Macaca mulatta: one gene and its partner. The protein of the gene in region 1 purifies or fractionates together with the protein of each later gene. This does not show direct contact. Links are inferred from orthologs where the notes say so. Each region holds a gene or a part of one and is shown on either strand. Other genes may lie near its edges. The genes, in order: RAB13 and GDI1.

Region 1 (9,569 bases):
CTATGCGGGTGGCCCGTGGGCCGCTGCGGTCCCTGGAGTTAATGTCCTAAGAAGTGCAGAGGGTAAATGAGAACCCTCTACGATCCGAAATCAGCGTGAGGGGAGCGTGCAGACAGAACAGCGAGATCTCCGCCGAAACCTGGACCAAAGCACTCACAGGCATGTTCTCGTGTGGGTAGGTCGTCACCGCCGGAAAAGAGCGAAAGCGGAAATCCTGCCCCTTATATTGTGCACACTACAGGAAATGACGCAAGGATCTTGTGCCACCATGCTTGGAAGGTCCTACTTTGGTCTGATGCGGTGGAGAGACAAGGGAGCTGCCATTTTCGGAAGGTCTTTAACTGTTAGTTGTGACACATATGCGTCACCATGTTGAAAGGGTTACCTTGCTAATTTGAGGTCAGCGTTTGATCACTATCCAGGGATAAATGGACACTTTTAAAATTTTGTGTCATACTTTGACATTTGGAGCCTAATAGAAAAGGTTAAGGAAAACACCAGGGAGAAGGAGCCATATCCAGGACTTCCGTACTATTTTTTAAATACCTATATTCTTAACTCTTTTTCTATTGGTTTAATTTAACAATTTAGGCCGGGCGCGGTGGCTCATGCGTGTAATCCCAGCACTTTGGGAGGCCAAGGCGGGTGGATCATCTGAGGTCAGCAGTTCGACACCAGCCTGGCCAACATGGTGAAACCCCGTCTCTACTAAAAAAAATGCAAAATTTAGCCAGAGATGGTGGTGCATTCCTGTAATCCCAGATACTTGGGAAGCTGAGGCAGGAGAATCGCTTGAATCAAGGAGGAGGAGATTGCAGTGGACCGAGACGGAGTCATTGCACTCCAGCCTGGGCAGCAAGAGCAAACTCGGTCTCAAAAAAAAAAAAAAAAAAAAGTCAGGTTCCAGTGAAAGCAGGTATACACCAGAATAAGTACAGTTCAGAGAGGTGAGCACGAATAATACATTGCTAAGGACGAAAAGTCCAGATCCAGGCAAAATAAGATAAAAAGAACTGATGGATTTTTATCAGGACAATTCACAAAAATTGAAGAGTAATTTAAAGGACTGGTAAAGCTGAGTATGGTGGCCCACATCTGTAATCCCAGCACTTTGGGAGGCTGAGGTGGGAGTATTGCTTGAAGCTCAGAGTTCAAGACCAGCATGGGCAATATAGTGAGACTTTGTCTTTACAAAATATTGAAACATTAGCCAGGCGTGGTAGCTTGTGTCCGTAGTCCCAGCTATTTGGGAGGATGAGGCAGAAGAATGGTTTGGGCCCAGGAGCTCAAGGCTGCAGTGACCTAGGATAGTGCCACTGTATTCCAGTGTGGGTGACAGAATGACCCTGTCTCTAAAAAACATAAAAATAGACCAGACACAGTGGCTCACGCCTCTAATCCCAGCACTTTGGGAGGCCGAGGTGGGTGGATCCTTTGAGGTCAGAGTTCGAGACCAGCCTGACCAGCATTATGAAACCCCATCTCTACTAAAAATACAAAAAAATTAGCCAGGTGTGGTGTTGGGTACGTGTGATCCCAGCTACTCTGGAGGCTGAGGCAGGAGAATCACCTGAACCTGAGAGAAGTTGCAGTGAGCCAAGATCCTGCCATTGTACTCCAGCCTGGGTGACAGAGCAAGACTCGATCTAAAATTAAATAAATAAATAAATAAACAAACAAACAAACAGGTGAGACATGGTTTGGTCAGTGAAAAGAAATAGGGAAGACTCAAGGAGATAATGAGAGGTGAGAGAATAGACAAAAGGAGATTGAATAGTTTAGCTTGAGAAGGGACAAGCATGGACACGGAAGGTGATGGGGATAAGTGAAATGACAAAAGATGCCTTCTTAACAACCAGTACACATTTTCTTTTTTTGAGACGGAGTCTCGCTCTGTCACCCAGGCTGGAGTGCGGTGGCCGGATCTCAGCTCACTGCAAGCTCCGCCTCCCGGGTTCACGCCATTCTCCGGCCTCAGCCTCCCAAGTAGCTGGGACTACAGGCGCCGGCCACCTCGCCCGGCTAGTTTTTTGTATTTAATAGAGACAGGGTTTCACTGTGTTTGCCAGGATGGTCTCGATCTCCTGACCTCGTGATCCACCCGTCTCGGTCTCCCAAAGTGCTGGGATCACAGGCTTGAGCCACCGCGCCCGGCCCTCATTTTTTTTTTTTCTAGACGCAGTTTTGCTCTTGTTGCCCAGGCTGTAGTGCAATGGTGCCATCTCTGCTCGCCGCAACCTCCGCCTCCCGCGTTCAAGCAATTCTCCCGCCTCAGCCTCCCGAGTAGCTGGGATTACAGGCAGGCGGCACCACGCCCGGCTAATTTTGTATTTTTAGTAGAGACGGGGGTTTCACCATGTTGGCCAAGCTGATATTGAACTCCCGACCTCACGTGATCCGCCCACCTCAGCCTCCCAAAGTGCTGGAATTACAGGTGTGAGCCACCACACCCAGCCTTTAATTTTTTTATAGGCAGCCAGAATAGGCTCGAGAGAGACTCCCTTGAATAATTTTTTATTTGCCGGTTGCGGTGGCTCATGCCTGTAATCCCAGCACTTTGGGAGGCTGAGGCGGGCGGATCATGTGAGGTCGGGAGTTCGAGACCAGCCTGGCCAACATGGTGAAACCCCGTCTCTACTAAAAATACAAAAAAAAATTTTAGCTAGGTGTGGTGGCGGGTGGCTGTAATCCCAGCTACTTGGGAAGCTGAGGCTGGAGAATCGCTTGAACCCAAGAGGCGGAGGTTGCAGTGACCAGAGATTGAGCCATTGCACTTCAGCCTGGGTGACAAGAGCAAAACTTTGTCTCAAAAAATAAAATAAAAATAAAAATAAAGGCTGGGCACAGTGGCTCAAGCCTGTAATCCCAGGCCTTTGGGAGGCAGAGGTGGATGGATCACCTGAGGTCGAGAGTTCAAGACCAGCCTGACCAACATGGAGAAACCCCGTCTCTACTAAAAATACAAAATTAGCTGGGGGTGGTGGCGGATGCCTGTAATTTCAGCTACTCGCGAGGCTTAGGCAGGAGAATCGCTTGAATCTGGGAGCCGAAAGTTGCGGTTAGCCAAGATCACACCATTGCACTCCAGCCTGGGCAACGAGAGCAAAACTCCACCTCAAAATAAATTAAAAAAAAAAAAAAAAATAGGCCGGGCGCGGTGGCTCACGCCTGTAATTCCAGTACTTTGGAAGGCCAAGGCAGACGGATCACGAGGTCAGGAGATCGAGACCATCCTGGTTAACATGGTGAAACCCTGTCTCTACCTAAAATACAAAAATTTAGCCAGGCGGTGGCAGGCGCCTGTAGTCCTAGCTACTCAGGAGACTGAGGCAGGCGAATGCCGTGAACCCGGGAGGTGGAGCTTGCAGTGAACCAAGATTGCGCCACTGCACTCCAGCCTGGGCAACAGAGCGAGACTCCGTCTCAAAAAAAAAATAGGGCTGGGCGCGGTGGCTTATGCCTGTAATCCCAGCACTTTGGGAGGCCGAGGCGGGCGGATCACAAGGTCAAGAGATCGAGACCATCTGGCCAACATGGTGAAACCCCGTCTCTACTAAAAATACAAAAATTAGCTGGACTTCGTGGCAGGCACCTGTAATCCCAGCTATTCCAGAGGCTGAGGCACGAGAATCGCTTGAACCAGGGAGGCAGAGGTTGCAGTGAGCCGAGATCGTCCCACTGCACTCCAGCCTGGCGACAGAGCAAGGCTGTGTCTCAAAAAATTAATTAATTAAAAATAAACAAATTTAAAAATTTTTTTGAGACAGGATCTTACTCTGTCACCGAGTCTGGAGTGCAGTAGCATAATCATGGCTCACTACAGCCTTGGACTCCTGGGCTCAAGTGATCTGCCCACTTCTGCCCCCTAGGTAGCTGGGGCTGGGACTACAGGCGCACACCACCATGTATGGCTTATTTATTTATTTATTTATTTATTTATTTATTGTCGAAGCAGAGTCTCAGTATGTTGCCCAGGCTAGTCTTGAACTCCTGGACCCAAGGGATCCTCTCACGTTGGCCTCCCAAAGTGCTGGGATTACAAGTGTGAGCCACCACACCGGGTCTTAAACAATTTCTTTCTTTCGTTTTTCGTATTTTTTTCCACCCCCAGCACACATATAGCAAGAATAATTTTTTTCTAAAGGCAGAGATATACTTGTTTCTTTGTAGCCATGCTGTCCATATTTCAGCTTCCTGGTTACCAAGGCTACACGTTCATGGCCTATTGAGTGAGATTTCAGGAGTACTGCACCTTAAGTGGGCCATATTAAAAGATCCACGTGAAGAATGACATTTTTAGTTCAAATCACTGTTTTCTTAAGCTATTTGGTCAGAGAAATCACACATGCGGCCCCCATTAGAGAGGTCGTTCCAACTGAAGCACCAGGACGTGTCTAGGTAGGCTGTGAGTCTTGGGGCGGTGGGGCCGATTCTGTAAAACTAATTTACGTTTTCACCCTGTTCCACCAGAGGGCAGACTGACTCAACAAATAACCTACTTCTGCGCATCCCGCTTTTTTCAAAGGGAATTGGGATCCATAGAACTAAGGGCTTGGACAACTAACGCTAAAATTCTAGGACTGACTTTTACGCAGCCCCAGAAACCGATGATAACTCATCTTCTAGCTTCGTTGAATAGCACCTCCAAAAATCAGCCCCATTTTTTTTTTTTCAATTTCTAGTGCCCTCCCTACCTTCACCGTTATTCCCAAAACTCTTTCTCTCTTCCCCTAATCCCTCTAAAATTTCTCTTCCCCTGGTCGTCGTGGTTAAACCTCTACTTCCCTTCACCCCAGACTCTCGCCTCAGAATAGAAGAGTAAGGTCGTAAGAGGGGAGCTACAGTTACCAAAAGGCTGTGGAAAATAGCGAGACAGGTAGGCCGGCCTAAGCTGGGAAGGGAAAACCGAGAGAGCAGAGGCCGGGCTGGCCGCCTTGGCCTGTCCAAAAGGGTGGGCGGGCAGGGGGTGGAGCCCGGAGGGGTGCCGCCCCTCCTTTTCCCGGAGCCTGGGCGGAGAGGGAGGAAAACTTCTTCCTGGCCTGGGCTCCGTGCTGCTCTGTTTGCCAACCGTCCAGTCCCGCCTACCAGTGCCGGGAGCTCCCCACCCCTCCCCCGGCTCCCCCGGTGTCCGCCATGGCCAAAGCCTACGACCACCTCTTCAAGTTGCTGCTGATCGGGGACTCGGGGGTGGGCAAGACTTGTCTGATCATTCGCTTTGCAGAGGACAACTTCAACAACACTTACATCTCCACCATTGGTGAGCCCGCTGGCCATGTCCCAGACCCCTACTGTCTTGTAACCTCCTTCTCAGGCTCCCGGATTACTAGTGACCCCAATTTTCAGTCCCCTTAGAGTAAGGCTCCTGAATTCTAGTCCCTCAACCCCTGGCTCTGACCCCTCCCCCATGCATGTCTCTGTATGGTAACCAAACCTCTCACCTCTCTGAGGCTTTCAGGTAACTCTTCAACTGCTGCCAGCTCCTCATTTTCTTGGTGCCATCACCTTAGTTTCCCAAAACCCACAAGAACTCTTCTCTCTTTGTCTCTGTGCCCCTCTTCCCCTACCCCCACCACTTAGAACTCTCTCGATCCATTCTCCACGTTTCCTGTATCCCTGTCTGCCACATCTTTTTCTCCCAATCCGATCTGTTAGCCTCTTTCCCTCTAGCCGACCTTCAAACTCTCCCACTGCGTCCCCAGCTCACCATCTACTTCCCAGGTTCCCTGCCCCAGTCTCCCTGCACCTCAGCTGAACAGGGGTTTGGGAAGGGTGGAACAAGGTGGCTGGGTGTGCTGGAGGGCGGCCCAAGGACTGTGATCATGAATATGCAGCCAGCTTGGTGAGGAACGTGGAAATGAGGGGACTTTTGGGGTCTCTGAGTCAGCCTGGTGACTCATCCTCCTCCCAGGGGCCCCCAGCAGGCTTGGGGGAGGTGCCCAAGTTTCTACTAAGAAGAACATTGTCTCCCCTCCTCCCTTCTTTCTTCATTTCCTCTGGCTTGGGAAATAGACAGGAAGAGTCTTATGACAATTCTGGTTACAAAGGAAGAGGAAAAATGCCCCCCTTTCCTAATTGTCTCAAAAGTAATCCTGTTTAGCCTCAGACTTTCCTAGTGCCAAGTTTGGCCTACTAGTTAATTCACATAGACTGGCTTCAGCTACTTTTTTCCTTACTCTCTACTAGGAGGGTGGGTGGAATACCAAGAGTAGAGGGCTCTAAGAAAACAGAGAAGAGGAATGTGAAAGTAATATCTGGTGGGGAGACAGAGACTGAATTCAGAGAGTTGTCAGCTGGTATAGCTGAATGGACCCAAGAGGTGGCCTAAGGATCTTAAGCCTCCATGCAGAATTTTCATCACCTTTTCCCTCCCAAAATCCATAAAACGTAAGTAAAAATAGTATTCTTGCTATACAAATACAGCTTTGGGAAAATTCTCCTAGCTTGGCATTTCCAACAAGATTGCTCCCCAAGTGCCTCTCCTGCAGAATTTCTGGTGCTGACACTGCTCCCTTCCTGTCCCTCCCATCACACAGTTTTACATGTGTGCATGCATGTCTCAACTTCAGTGCATACTTTCCACCCCTAGGAATTGATTTCAAGATTCGCACTGTGGATATAGAGGGGAAGAAGATCAAACTACAAGTCTGGTAAGTGAATCCTCTGGGAAGCCTCACCAGACTTCATTTACCTCCTACACGCTTTTTCTTCTACTTTGTTTCATTTCTCTTCCTTTCCTCATTGCTCTTTCTAGCACTTCTAATCTATTTCTCTGGATGCACTCAGCTGTCCTTCGTCTCTCTTCCTGCTCTCCCAACTAGTTCCAGCTTTTTTGTAACTCTTGCCTCCTCTGGCTACAGAGCATCCTCTTAATTTGACAACAAACAACTGTTCAGTCATAACTTGGAAACAGGCTGTGAACCGTTAAATGGCACAGGCAGAATTAAGACTTGACTCTAAGTCTAGTGTTTTCTCCAAAATATGGTGAGCCCAGAGAGCCAAATGTAGACCCTGAAGGGGTTTAAGTGGTATGAAGCTTAGTGGAGGCATAATGCTATGACATATAAGAGCAGAGTGGTGCACAAATCCGGTTCTTTTACTTATCTGCTGCCTGACCTTCATGAATTATTCAGCCTATCCAAATCTGTTTCCTCTTTTTTTTTTGAGACAGAGTCTTGCTCTTATCGCCCAGGCTGGAGTGCAATGGCACAATCTCAGCTCACCGCAACCTCCGCCTCCTGGGTTCAAGTGATTCTCCCACCTCAGCCTCCCAAGTAGCTGGGATTACAGGTGCCCGCCACCATGCCCGGCTAATTTTTGTATTTTTAGTAGAGACGAGGTTTCGCCATGTTGGCCAGGCTGGTCTCGAACTCCTGACCTCAGATGATCGACCCGCCTCGGCTTCCCAAGGCGGAAGATTACAGGCGCGAGCCACGGCCCCCGGCATGTTTCCTTATTTGTAAAATAGGGACAATAATACATGTCTTACAAGGAGAGATTAAGGATTAGATAAAATGATACATACGCAGTGCTGGACACATAGCAAGCATTCAATGAATAAGCAAAGACAGCTTGTTTCTTGGGCCACTACCATCTCTGGAAATCAGGTCAACCGTCTTTAATCCCACTCCCCTTTACTGTTTCCTTATTCTGTTGCCCCACCATGTTGCAAAAGCTAAATTCTTGCGAGAGAGGAAGAATTCTTCCATTAGAGAATTCTTTCCTCTCTTCCATTCCATGAAACCTTCTCCTTCTTTAGGGACACGGCTGGCCAAGAGCGATTCAAGACAATAACTACTGCCTACTACCGTGGAGCCATGGTATGAAGTGTGGGTCTGGACAAAGGATGAAGGATGAGGCCACAGAATATATTATGAATACAAAGGGTCAGGGGTTGAGGCAGGTAAAAATGGGAGGGGTGTAGTGTGGGTTGCAGAGGGCCCAACGTGGCCTAGTGTTTAGACCCATGGATGGAACTTGCCGGGTCACTTACAGGGCAGTGGGAAGCCTCAAAGGGAATATGGTCCAAGTTGAATTTTGTCATCTCCCAGGGCATTATCCTAGTATACGACATCACGGATGAGAAATCTTTCGAGAATATTCAGAACTGGATGAAAAGCATCAAGGAGGTGAGGACCCTCCAGAAGAGATGGGGGAACTGGATAGAACCTGGAGAATGAAGGGAGCCATAAGGATAGGCATGACCTAACTTTTTTTTTTTTTTGAGACGAAGTTTCGCTCTTGTTGCCTGGGCTGGAGTGCAATGGCACCATCTTGGCTCACTGCAACCTGACTACCGGGTTCAAATGATTCTCCTGCCTCAGCCTCCTAAGTAGCTAGGATTACAGGCATGCACCACCATGCTCAGCTACTTTTGTATTTTTAGTAGAGATGGGGTTTTACCATGTTGATCAGGTTGGTCTTGAACTCCTGCATCAGGTGATCCACCCGCCTTGGCCTCCCAAAGTGCTGGGATTACAGGTGTGAGCCACCACACCCAGCTGGCGGGACCTAACTTTTACTTGTCTTTTGCCCCCCCAGAATGCCTCGGCTGGGGTGGAACGCCTCTTGCTAGGGAACAAATGTGACATGGAGGCCAAGAGGAAGGTGCAGAAGGAGCAGGCCGATAAGGTGAGGGCCAGGCTGAGCAATTTCTAGAACTGGGCTGGGAGGGCCAAGATAGGTTGCATTGCAGAGGACTTGGCTGCTGTCCTTAATTCAATTCTCTCCTTCTCACTTCACCCCTTATAGTTGGCTCGAGAGCACGGGATCCGATTTTTCGAAACTAGTGCTAAATCCAGTATGAATGTGGATGAGGTGAGATCCACACCCCCATCCCTGACCAAGAGAGGAAGTATTAAAAGGTAGATTCTCCTCCCTCCAAACTGATTCTATTCCCCACTTTAGGCTTTTAGCTCCCTGGCCCGGGACATCTTGCTCAAGTCAGGAGGCCGGAGATCAGTAAGTTGGTTTTGCTGGACTAGGTACAACTCTGGTGTGTGTGTGTTGGTGTTGATAAGAATTGAGGGGAGCAATGCTAAGATTTCTCATGAGGGTGGATTCACTTCCAACAGTTTATACCCTCACACCCTAACCAGCCATTCACACCATGACCCCTGTGCCCTTCTCCCTCTAGGGAAACGGCAACAAGCCTCCCAGTACTGACCTGAAAACTTGCGACAAGAAGAACACCAACAAGTGCTCCCTGGGCTGAGGACCCTTTCTCGCCTCCCCACCCTGGAAGCTGAACCTGAGGGAGACGGGGCAAAGGGACTGAGCAGGGGAGAAATAGCAGAGGGGCTTGGAGGGACACATAGGTAGATGGTAAAGAGAATGAGGAATAAAAGGAGAAGAGAAAAGGGAAAAGCAGAAAGGAAAAGAAGGAAGAGAGAGGAGGGAGAAGGGAGAGGAACCGATTGAGGAAGTGAAAGAAGGTAAGGAGGTAAGAAGAGGGAGGAGGAAAGGAAGGGGAGATGGCCTCAGGCTTCAGACCTTACCTGGGTTTTCAGGGCAAACATAAATGTAAATACACTGATTTATTCTGTTACTAGATCAGGTTTTAGGGTCCTGCA
Region 2 (9,569 bases), on another chromosome or scaffold:
CCCCTCCCCACAGCTTCCCTGTTCCCTCCCCAGTTCCTCTTGTCTGTAGGGCGGGTAAGGCAGCTGACTCCTACTCCTGAGGTTACCACAAATCAGCTGCCTACAGATCTCCCCACCCCCATGACTGCCTTCTATGTCTTCTCACCCTGCCTTGACAGTGCTGGAGGGAAGAGACGAGTCTCCCACCCACCACCACCAACACACAGTCGCGCTCCACTATACCGAACCTGACTCTCAGTGAGACTTTGCTGGCCCTGAGAATGCACGGGGAAGGTGGCTGTCCCCTGCCTTGGCCCCCATTCCTTGTCAAACCTCCTCAGATGTCTCCCCTGTTTCCCTATTAGCTGAGCATTGAGGATTTCACAGCATATGGTGGTGTGTTTGGAAACAAGCAGGACAGCGCCTTTTCTAATCTAGAGGTAAGAGTCCTCTCCCAGCCAGGGGCCATGGGGGACATTCTGTGCTTCTCCCAGCATAAGAACTGTACTCTTACCTCATATCAGGGTTACTTGGGTCTGAGTCTCCTCTGGGCTGCCTCCTCCCTCCCCCCCCGCCCCCCGCAAACAACAACAACAACAAAACCTCCTCATACTCTTAGCAGAGACACTGGCTTTGGGGTAGAAAGGCCTGGGGCCTGAATGTCAGGGCCTGGGGTGTGGGCCATTTTCTTGGTGAGCCTTTGTGGGTATGGCTTGCCAGAGGAAACCTGCCAGAGAGGTTTGGGGGGCTGGCCCAGGCCCACTGGCCCCTGGCTAACTCACCTTTTGCCTCTCCCCTGTCACCAGAATGCCCTGGACCTGGCCCCCTCCTCCCTGGTGCTTCCTGCCGTTGACTGGTATGCAGTCAGCACTCTGACCACTTACCTGCAGGAGAAGCTCAGGGCCAGCCCCTTGCATGTGGACTTGGCCACCCTGCGGGAGCTGAAGCTCAACGCCAGCCTCCCCGCCCTGCTGCTCATTCGCCTGCCCTACACGGCCAGGTACTGCCCACATGGCCCAGCCACCAGCCTCGGGGTCCAGAGAGCAGCAAGGCCCTGGGCTATGGCATGTGGTGGCACCATTCGACCAAATATGCCAGTACTCCCCACCCCCTCACAACCCTTCTAGAAGGTGCCGTGTGTGGCCAGAAGAGGTGGGGAGGGCCTCTTCTGTGATTCAGGAGTTGGTGCCTAGCTCCAGAGATGAGGCAGATGTGAGCCCTGTGGGTGGGGAGCTTTCTCACCTAGCCAGGCCCTTGTCACAGAGCAGGTGGCTAGGACTTGAGTGTGACTGAGAAGCCTCGGGGTGAGATGGGCTTCCAGGAGTGGGCACTGAGGTAAGAGTGTGCAGGCTTGGTGTGTGGGGCTAGTGGGGAGGAGAAGCTGGGGCAGGGGAAGGGTAGTAGGCAGCACAGGTCCAGGCCGCCTGAGGACTCTGGTGCTCTGTTTGTCTTCCATAGCTCTGGTCTGATGGCACCCAGGGAAGTCCTCACAGGCAATGGTGAGTAGAATCAGGGAGGATGCACATCCTCACCTAGCCCTTGGGCGGGGACCACAGACAGTTGGCCTGCAGCTCCTCAGCCTCCTCACTCCCAGGGTGGCCCTCCTGCTTCTCGGGGCAGCTGACAGTGGAGCAGGGAAATGCTGGCTCCCAGGACCAGCCAGGGACCACCTAGCAGAGGACCCTGTCCAGCCAGACCCCACTTGGCAGAGGGGGGGCCCTCTGTGCTGGAGGCTATGGAGCCAGTTTCTGTGCATGCAGCGTGAATCCTAGAGTTATGGGTTTAATAAGACTGCAGACATTTGGAAAAACAATTCTGGGGACTTACCTATTTGCAATAAAGAACAGTCATTCCCCATGGAAAGGCAGTCACAAACCTTTCATGGGTGGATGTGGAGTTTTCTGTATTGATATGTATTTTCTCGTGTCACATAGGTAGGGCTTGGCATTAGGAAGTTGATGACCAAAGCCACAGTTGTCCACGGGGGAGGCTAGGAATGGGGGTGGGATGAGAAATAGCTGCTCCTAAGGATCCTCAGTGGAAAGTAATAACACCACTTTCAGATGGTCTAGAAGGTTTCTAAAGCAGACGGTGGGGAGTGTTTCTTTACACAGGGTGCCTGGTGACTTGACTCTCTGCTCTCCTTGTTGACCCTCAGATGAGGTCATTGGGCAGGTCCTGAGCACACTCAAGTCTGAAGATGTCCCGTACACAGCGGCCCTCACAGCGGTCCGCCCTTCCAGGGTATGTGCCCTTCCAGCAGGGGCTCTGGGGCATGCAGGGAGAGGCAGTGTGGTGAGTCTGTCTGGAGGTGGGGGGTGTATGCCACAGGCAGGCTGTCCGGGAGGCCCAGCATAGCGGAAGCATCAGGCACAGAACCCCTGTGGTGTGACTATTTGGAGTGGCTTGTCCCTGGGCTGACTCTGGGGGAGGACTAGGATGAGCACTCAAGTGCTGCCTCCCCATTCCAGGGGCAGCTTTCCATCTCGTCCTCTGAGGCTTGTGGGTGGCAGACTTGGACACTAAGTCTAAATGACCCTAAGTTTGAGGGACTAGGAACGTCATCAGGGTTTAGGGGCCATCAGGGAAAGCTTTCTGGAGGAAAGGCCTCCTCTGGCTGGTGGGACTTTGAGATAGTGGACAGGGTGTCCTGTCGGGAGAGGAGGGAGGGCACGACAGCTGGGTTGGAGTATGACAGTCTCCCAGGGCTGCTGAAAGAAGGCTGGTTGGGTGTTTCTGCAGGTGGCCCGTGATGTAGCGGTGGTGGCTGAAGGGCTAGGTCGCCAGCTGTTACAAAAACAGCCAATATCACCTGTGATCCATCCTCCTGTGAGTTACAATGACACTGCTCCCCGGATCCTGTTCTGGGCCCAAAACTTCTCTGTGGCGTACAAGGACCAGTGGGAGGACCTGACTCCCCTCACCTTTGGGGTGCAGGAGCTCAACCTGACTGGCTCCTTCTGGAATGACTCCTTTGCCAGGCAAGGGCACTAGGCTGGGGAGGACTGTGCCACCACAGGTGACCTTCCCACCACTGTGAGTCGCAGGTGGGGCAGGGAGCCAGGGTCAGGTCTGTGTGTTGGGGTGGGGATGGCCATGGTCTGGTTGGGGTCTGGGCAGTGTGAGGATGTAGGAGGTGTCATGGCGGGGGGTGCTGTTGGAGGGGAGTTGCTCAGACTTCTGCCTCCCCATGCTTGTGAGTCTTTGGTTGGGACCTTGGTTGTTAACACCTCCCCCTTGAGCAAAACTTCTGGGACTTTGTGTGGGCAAATGCCAGGCCAGCTACCTGAGGCATTTATGGGGCAACCATGCCCTTCTGTTTGCTCTCACCCCCAAAGCCCAGCCCAGGCACCTTAGTGACCCTAAGAGGGAGTAAAAGGAGAGGTAGTGAGCTCAGGGGAACCAGAGGAAGGACCCCCATGCTGGTGGCAAGGGGAACCTGGGTCCTGGCTTCCAGCTCTGTTCTGGGCTTGCAATGTGACTGGATCCTCAGTTTTCCTATCTGTCAAGTGGGGTCACTGCTTCTTCAGGTGGCTGCAAGGACCCAAGGCAGCTTAGGTAAGAGCAGAGCTGAGGAACTTGTTCCTCTAAGATGCCAAAGGCCCTCCCAGAGCCTCATGGTGCACCTCTTTCTCTGCCTCCACAGGCTCTCACTGACCTATGAACGACTCTTTGGTACCACAGTGACATTCAAGTGAGTCCTGGGGTGGTTGAGGTGTGGGGAGGCTGGTGTGGCCCCAGCCTCCCCAGCTCACCTGACATCCCTGCCACCTTCCCCAGGTTCATTCTGGCCAACCGCCTCTACCCAGTGTCCGCCCGGCACTGGTTTACCATGGAGCGCCTCGAAGTCCACAGCAATGGCTCCGTTGCCTACTTCAATGCTTCCCAGGTCACAGGGCCCAGCATCTACTCCTTCCACTGCGAGTATGTCAGCAGCCTGAGCAAGAAGGGCAGTCTCCTCGTGGCCCGCACGCAGCCCTCCCCCTGGCAGATGATGCTTCAGGACTTCCAGGTATGGCGCAGGGGTGGCCCAGCTTCAGGTGGGGGAGCCCAGGCTGGTGTTTGAGAAACGAAGAGAGGCTTGGGCTTGGGAGTCCTGTCCCTGCGCTGCCCTTGTCCCAGTCCTTGCTGGGCCTCCCAACGGTCCTTTCTGACCCGTGTCTGTGTGTCTGCCAGATCCAGGCTTTCAACGTGATGGGGGAGCAGTTCTCCTATGCCAGTGACTGTGCCAGCTTCTTCTCCCCCGGCATCTGGATGGGGCTGCTGACCTCCCTGTTCATGCTCTTCATCTTCACCTACGGCCTGCACATGATCCTCAGTCTCAAGACCATGGATCGCTTTGATGATCACAAGGGCCCCACCATTTCTTTGACCCAGATTGTCTGACCCTGTGCCAGTGGGGGGTTGAGGGTGGGAGAGTGTCCGTGTTGTTGCTTTCCCACCCTGCAGCACACTGGACTGGAGCTTCCCTCTTCCTACCGCAGCATGAACCCCAAGCTCCCCTCAGCCCATCTTGCTCCCTCTTCAGCCTGCTGAGGAGCTTTCCTGGGCTGCCCCCATCTCTCCCAACAAGGTGTACATATTCTGCGTAGATGCTAGACCAACCAGCTTCCCAGGCTTAGTCGCTGTGAGGCGTAAGGGACATGAATTCTAGGGTCCCCTTTCTCCTTATTTATTCTTGTGTCTACATCATCCCTGGCTGTGGATAGTGTTTTTGTGTAGCAAATGCTCCCTCCTTAAGGTTATAGGGCTCCCTGAGTTTGGGGTGTGGAAGTTCTACTTAACTGTCCTGCTTGGCTGTCGTTATCGTTTTCTGGTGATGTTGTGCTAACAATAAGCAGTACACTGGGGTTTATTTCTGTGGCCTGAGAAGGAAGGTGGGCTGGGTGCGATCGTCGGCTGTCTGGCATGTTCCCACCGGAAGTGCCTGGCAGGAGCAGGGGGTGCTCGGTTGTTTCCTTCCTAATAAAGTAAACGAGGATCGCCATGCGTTGGGCCTCTTGTCGCTCATTTCTGCGCTGAGCTTTTGGCGCGTGCTCGCCAGAGGTATGCGGGAGGATGGAGCCTGGAGAGGGGGAGGCTAGGAGGCATCCCCGGAGACCGGGAGGGGCTTTAGTAAGCTGGGCCCTAACCGCTTAGGTCAGGGAGGGGTGGTCGGGCCGAGTCCCGGTGCGCTTCGGCGTCTCAGGAGGCCGTAGTGACAATGGCAGCCTTCGCGTCGTGAGGGAGCCGCCCCCGGCTGCCGCAGCGGCGCGCGTCCGGTCGCGGGGCCGCGCCGAGACTCCCGGGGGGCGGGGCGGGCGCGCGCGGGGCGGGGCGGGGCGGGTGGGGCGGGGCGCGCGCGGCTCCCGCGCATGGATCCTTTCCGGGCCGCAGCACCGGCCGCCGGCCCGCCCCGCCCGCCCCGCCCGCCCCGCCCCGAGCCTCTCTGGACTCTCGGCGAGCAACGTCGCCCGCGGAGCCGCGCTGGTGCTGTGGCCCGGGCCCTGGCAGCCCTCCCGGGAGGCGAGCCGGGAAGGCGGTGTCCCCTGCCGGGTGCGGCGGGGCGCGGGAAGAGGCGGGACTCTTTGACGCGGCGGAGGGGTCGGGCGGCGGCCGACGCTCCGCCATCTTTGGTCCAGTGCGGTGGCGGCGGCGGCGGTGGCTACTGCTGTGGTGAAGGAGGAGGAGGAGCCGAGCGGGCGCTGCCACTGAGGCCTGACCATGGACGAGGAATACGATGTAATCGTGCTGGGGACCGGCCTCACCGTAAGTGCGGCCCCGGGCGCCCTTGGCCCTGCGTCGTGCCCTCGCCATTCCCCGCGATGATGCGGCCGCCGGCCCATCCTCCGGTCACTGCCATCTTCTGCGCTCGGCTCCCCGAAAAGCCGGCGCCGTGCCCACCCCGCTGCTCCCCCCGCGATGTCGCCTCTGTTCGTTGCCATGACCCCATCTCCCCGAAGGGGCCCCCTTCCTGGCCGCCCCCTGGCCTACCCGGGTCCGACCCCCGGCGCTCTCCCATCTTCCCTACCCCTGCCCTCTGGACCGGAAAACGCACCCCCACTCGGCCCGTTGCCCCCGACCCCGCCCACCCATCGCCCCCACCCCGCCCACCCATCGCCCCCACCCCGCCCACCCATCGCCCCCACCCATCACGGCATCCACCCGTCGCCCGCACCCATCGCCCGCCTAGCGTTGCCTCCCAGCGTCCCTTCCCATCTTGCGCTAATCCCTGTGAGGATGAAGTACAAGGACCTGGGGTCAGGGGGCCTCGCCAGGGTGGGCTCTCAGCCCACCCCCTCGTCGTCTTCTGGGGCCAGGGGATCCAGGGAATGTTCCAGAAGGAGCAGCAGTGGGGGCAGTAAGCACATTCCCGCAACCCCACCTCGGTTGCCCATGGAGACCTCAGGCTGAGTAGCATCTGCAGCCTTTGTCCTTGGGCTAGTGACAGTGACTGGTGAGGGTGTTTATCTTCCCCCTTTCCCCGAAAATCCCGTTGGCCCACTCCCCTCAGAGACTCTTCTCCCTCGGTCCAGACCCAGATGCCCCTCCTCAGCGGCAGGGGCTCCTGCTCTTTGAAGAAAGAGCAGTCCAGGGTGGGGCCTACAATTTCAAGGACTGTGCTAAGCCTTTCTTTGCTTCCCTTTGGAGTGTCCTTCGCAGTCCAGCTGGGTCCCCTCTGTGCCACATTGTGTTTTATCCGCCTTTTTGTGCGGCTCTGCGTAGGTAGATGCCTCTCGGCGTGTTGGTACTGGAAGGCCATCCTGTGTCTGCTGGATGCCCTGCCTACCTCAAAGCCTCCGTTATTTCACTGTCTGCCTTGTGAGGGGGACGGGTCTCCTTTACCCCGCAAGGTTGCAATGGAGAGTGTGGTCGGATGAAACCATCACCCCAATTTTAGGCGAGGCAACTAGCCGGTGGGGGTGGTGGATGGAAGGAGCTGTCCACTGAGGCAGGTTTGGGTGGGGAACAAATCAGGGCTGCTGGTAGGAGCAGAGGAAGGTGGGAGTGCAGCGGATTGTGTGGCCCTCCCCCAGGAATGCATCTTGTCGGGCATCATGTCTGTGAACGGGAAGAAGGTGCTGCACATGGACCGGAACCCCTACTACGGGGGCGAGAGCTCCTCCATCACACCCCTGGAGGAGGTGAGGCTGCCTGGGCCCAGGCCCATCCCTGTTAACCTCCCACACAGCGGCACAGGGTGGAAGTAGCTCTCCAGGTGCCTGGAGCAGGAGGAGGTGGTCCCTGAGGTGTCTCTCTCTCCCTTCTGCTTACAGCTGTATAAGCGTTTTCAGTTGCTGGAGGGGCCCCCTGAGTCCATGGGCCGAGGCCGAGACTGGAACGTTGACCTGATTCCCAAATTCCTCATGGCTAACGGTGAGGGACAGGAAGGAGGTATTGCAGGTCGGGGGTGATAGGGAAGACCTAAGGACAGTCAGGCTCCAAAGGAGGCGCAGCCAGACCAGCTAGAACCTCTGGAGAGAGCCGTGCTGATGTTGCCCTTGTGCACCCCCACAGGGCAGCTGGTAAAGATGCTACTGTATACAGAAGTGACTCGCTACCTGGACTTCAAGGTGGTGGAGGGCAGCTTTGTCTACAAGGGGGGCAAGATCTACAAAGTGCCGTCCACTGAGACTGAGGCCTTGGCTTCCAGTGAGTGTGGGCCCCCTGAGCCAGAGAAATCATGGGGTGGCAGGGAAGCCAACTGTCTTTGGGATGGGTGGCTGTCCAGAGTAAGGTACCCCTTTGTCCAAAGTCACATTCCCCCATGAAGGGGACCAGAGGCCCTTCACTCTGTATTCCCTCTGCCCCATGTCATGCCGCATGGCTGGCTGCCAAGAGGGAGGTCCCCACGCAGCAGGGATGTGACGTGGAGGGGAACGGGACTCCTTTTGAAAGACTTGAGCGTGGCCAGGCGCGGTGGCTCATGCCTGTAATCCCAGCACTTTGAGAGGCCTAGGCGGGTGGATCACGAGGTTAGGAGTTCAAGACCAGCCTGGCCAACATGGTGAAACCCCGTCTCGTCTCAAAATACAAAAAATTAGCTGAGTGTGGTGGCACACACCTGTAATCCCAGCTACTCGGGAGGCTGAGGCAAGAGAATGGTTTGAACCCGGGAGGTGGAGGTTGTGGTGAGCCGAGATCATACCACTGCACTCCAGCCTGGGCGATAGAGTAAGACTCCATCTCAAAAAACAACAACAACAAAGAAAACTTGAGCCTTTGGCAGGGGCTCCACTGGATCCTCAAGACATCCCCAAGTGTCCAAGCCAGGAAAGCCCTTAGAGTCCATCCAGGCCAATCCCCTCTTCATCCTGGTGGGGAAACTGAGGCTAAAAAGGGTGGAGAGGTTAACCTAAGGTCACAGGACAGCTGGGCTGGGAGTGGGGGTGCCTGCCCTGCTGAGATGGAGAGTTTTGTGCTGCGTTGGTGCAGAACCTCCTCCCGCCACCTTCCTTAGATCTGATGGGTATGTTTGAGAAACGGCGCTTCCGCAAGTTCCTGGTGTTTGTGGCAAACTTCGATGAGAATGACCCCAAGACCTTTGAGGGTGTTGACCCCCAGACTACCAGCATGCGTGATGTCTACCGGAAGTTTGATCTGGGCCAGGATGTCATCGATTTCACTGGCCACGCCCTGGCACTCTACCGCACTGATGAGTGAGGGGAAGCTGGTGTGGCGGCAGCCCCCTCGCCCGGCCCACCTCCTGCCCTCCCCACACCTGCCTGTTGTCCCCCTGCCCTGCATGTTCCTTGTACTCAGCCATAGGCTCACCTATCACCCTTTCCATTTCCCCCTTGCATTTGATCCTCATCTTCCCCAGGCCATTCAGGGTGGTGGGAAGACTGGCCTGGTACCTGGTACCTGGGTGGGGGTAAGTCAGGGGTGCTGCTACTGGAGCGTCTTCCCTAACCCCTGTCCCCCAGCTACCTGGACCAGCCCTGTCTTGAGACCATCAACCGCATCAAGTTGTACAGTGAGTCCCTGGCCCGGTATGGCAAGAGCCCATATTTATACCCGCTCTACGGCCTGGGCGAGCTGCCCCAGGGTTTTGCAAGGTGAGGACGTGGGTTTTTTCAGTTGGCATGGCTGAGTAGGACTAGGGCCAGGAGTGGAGATGGCCCCCTTGAGCATTTCCCTGGTAGCATTTCCTCCTTTCCAATTCGTGATTTTCATTTACTTCACTCCATCCTTGGGTGATGAGGGCACAACCCCAGTGCACTGAAGTACAGAAGTCTCCACACTTGCCGGGCGCGGTGGCTCACGCCTGTAATCCCAGCACTTTGGGAGGCCGAGGCGGGCGGATCACAAGGTCAGGAGATCGAGACCACGGTGAAACCCCGTCTCTACTAAAAATACAAAAAATTAGCCGGGCGCGGTTGTGGGTGCCTGTAGTCCCAGCTACTCGGGAGGCTGAGGCAGGAGAATGGCGTGAACCCGGGAGGCGGAGCTTGCAGTGAGCCGAGATCGCGCCACTGCACTCCAGCCTGGGCGACAGAGCGAGACTCCGTCTCAAAAAAAAAAAAAAAAAAAGAAGTCTCCACACTTGAAGAACCAAGTTTCCACAAATGTGACTTGCTCAGTTCCCGGCAGCACCAGGACTGGGCCCA

The links.
Region 2: the proteins of RAB13 (region 1) and GDI1 purify together in Homo sapiens (affinity purification with mass spectrometry; 4 studies listed by BioGRID and IntAct, counting the BioPlex papers as one, with this or other methods). This does not show direct contact. The link is inferred for Macaca mulatta from reciprocal best matches to the Homo sapiens genes RAB13 and GDI1.

Annotation. Positions count from the first base shown.
Region 1 is NC_133406.1:113,047,392-113,056,960, forward strand, and holds the start of RAB13 (ras-related protein Rab-13), read left to right. Parts: upstream 1-5,033; 5' UTR 5,034-5,133; coding exon 5,134-5,257; exon of another isoform or gene 5,258-5,353; intron 5,354-5,975; exon of another isoform or gene 5,976-6,384; intron 6,385-6,586; coding exon 6,587-6,647; intron 6,648-7,756; coding exon 7,757-7,817; intron 7,818-8,048; coding exon 8,049-8,126; intron 8,127-8,538; coding exon 8,539-8,628; intron 8,629-8,748; coding exon 8,749-8,814; intron 8,815-8,904; coding exon 8,905-8,958; coding exon of another isoform or gene 8,959-8,962; intron 8,963-9,133; coding exon 9,134-9,211; 3' UTR 9,212-9,569. Other genes in the region: RPS27 (small ribosomal subunit protein eS27), read right to left, coding at 158-163.
Region 2 is NC_133426.1:160,615,021-160,624,589, forward strand, and holds the start of GDI1 (rab GDP dissociation inhibitor alpha), read left to right. Parts: upstream 1-5,399; 5' UTR 5,400-5,682; coding exon 5,683-5,727; intron 5,728-6,995; coding exon 6,996-7,103; intron 7,104-7,235; coding exon 7,236-7,335; intron 7,336-7,476; coding exon 7,477-7,611; intron 7,612-8,419; coding exon 8,420-8,618; intron 8,619-8,885; coding exon 8,886-9,017; intron 9,018-9,569. Other genes in the region: ATP6AP1 (V-type proton ATPase subunit S1), read left to right, coding at 345-419, 786-979, 1,438-1,478, 2,138-2,274, 2,701-2,960, 3,626-3,673, 3,760-3,991, 4,156-4,365. UniProt on the Homo sapiens protein: Regulates the GDP/GTP exchange reaction of most Rab proteins by inhibiting the dissociation of GDP from them, and the subsequent binding of GTP to them. Promotes the dissociation of GDP-bound Rab proteins from the membrane and inhibits their activation.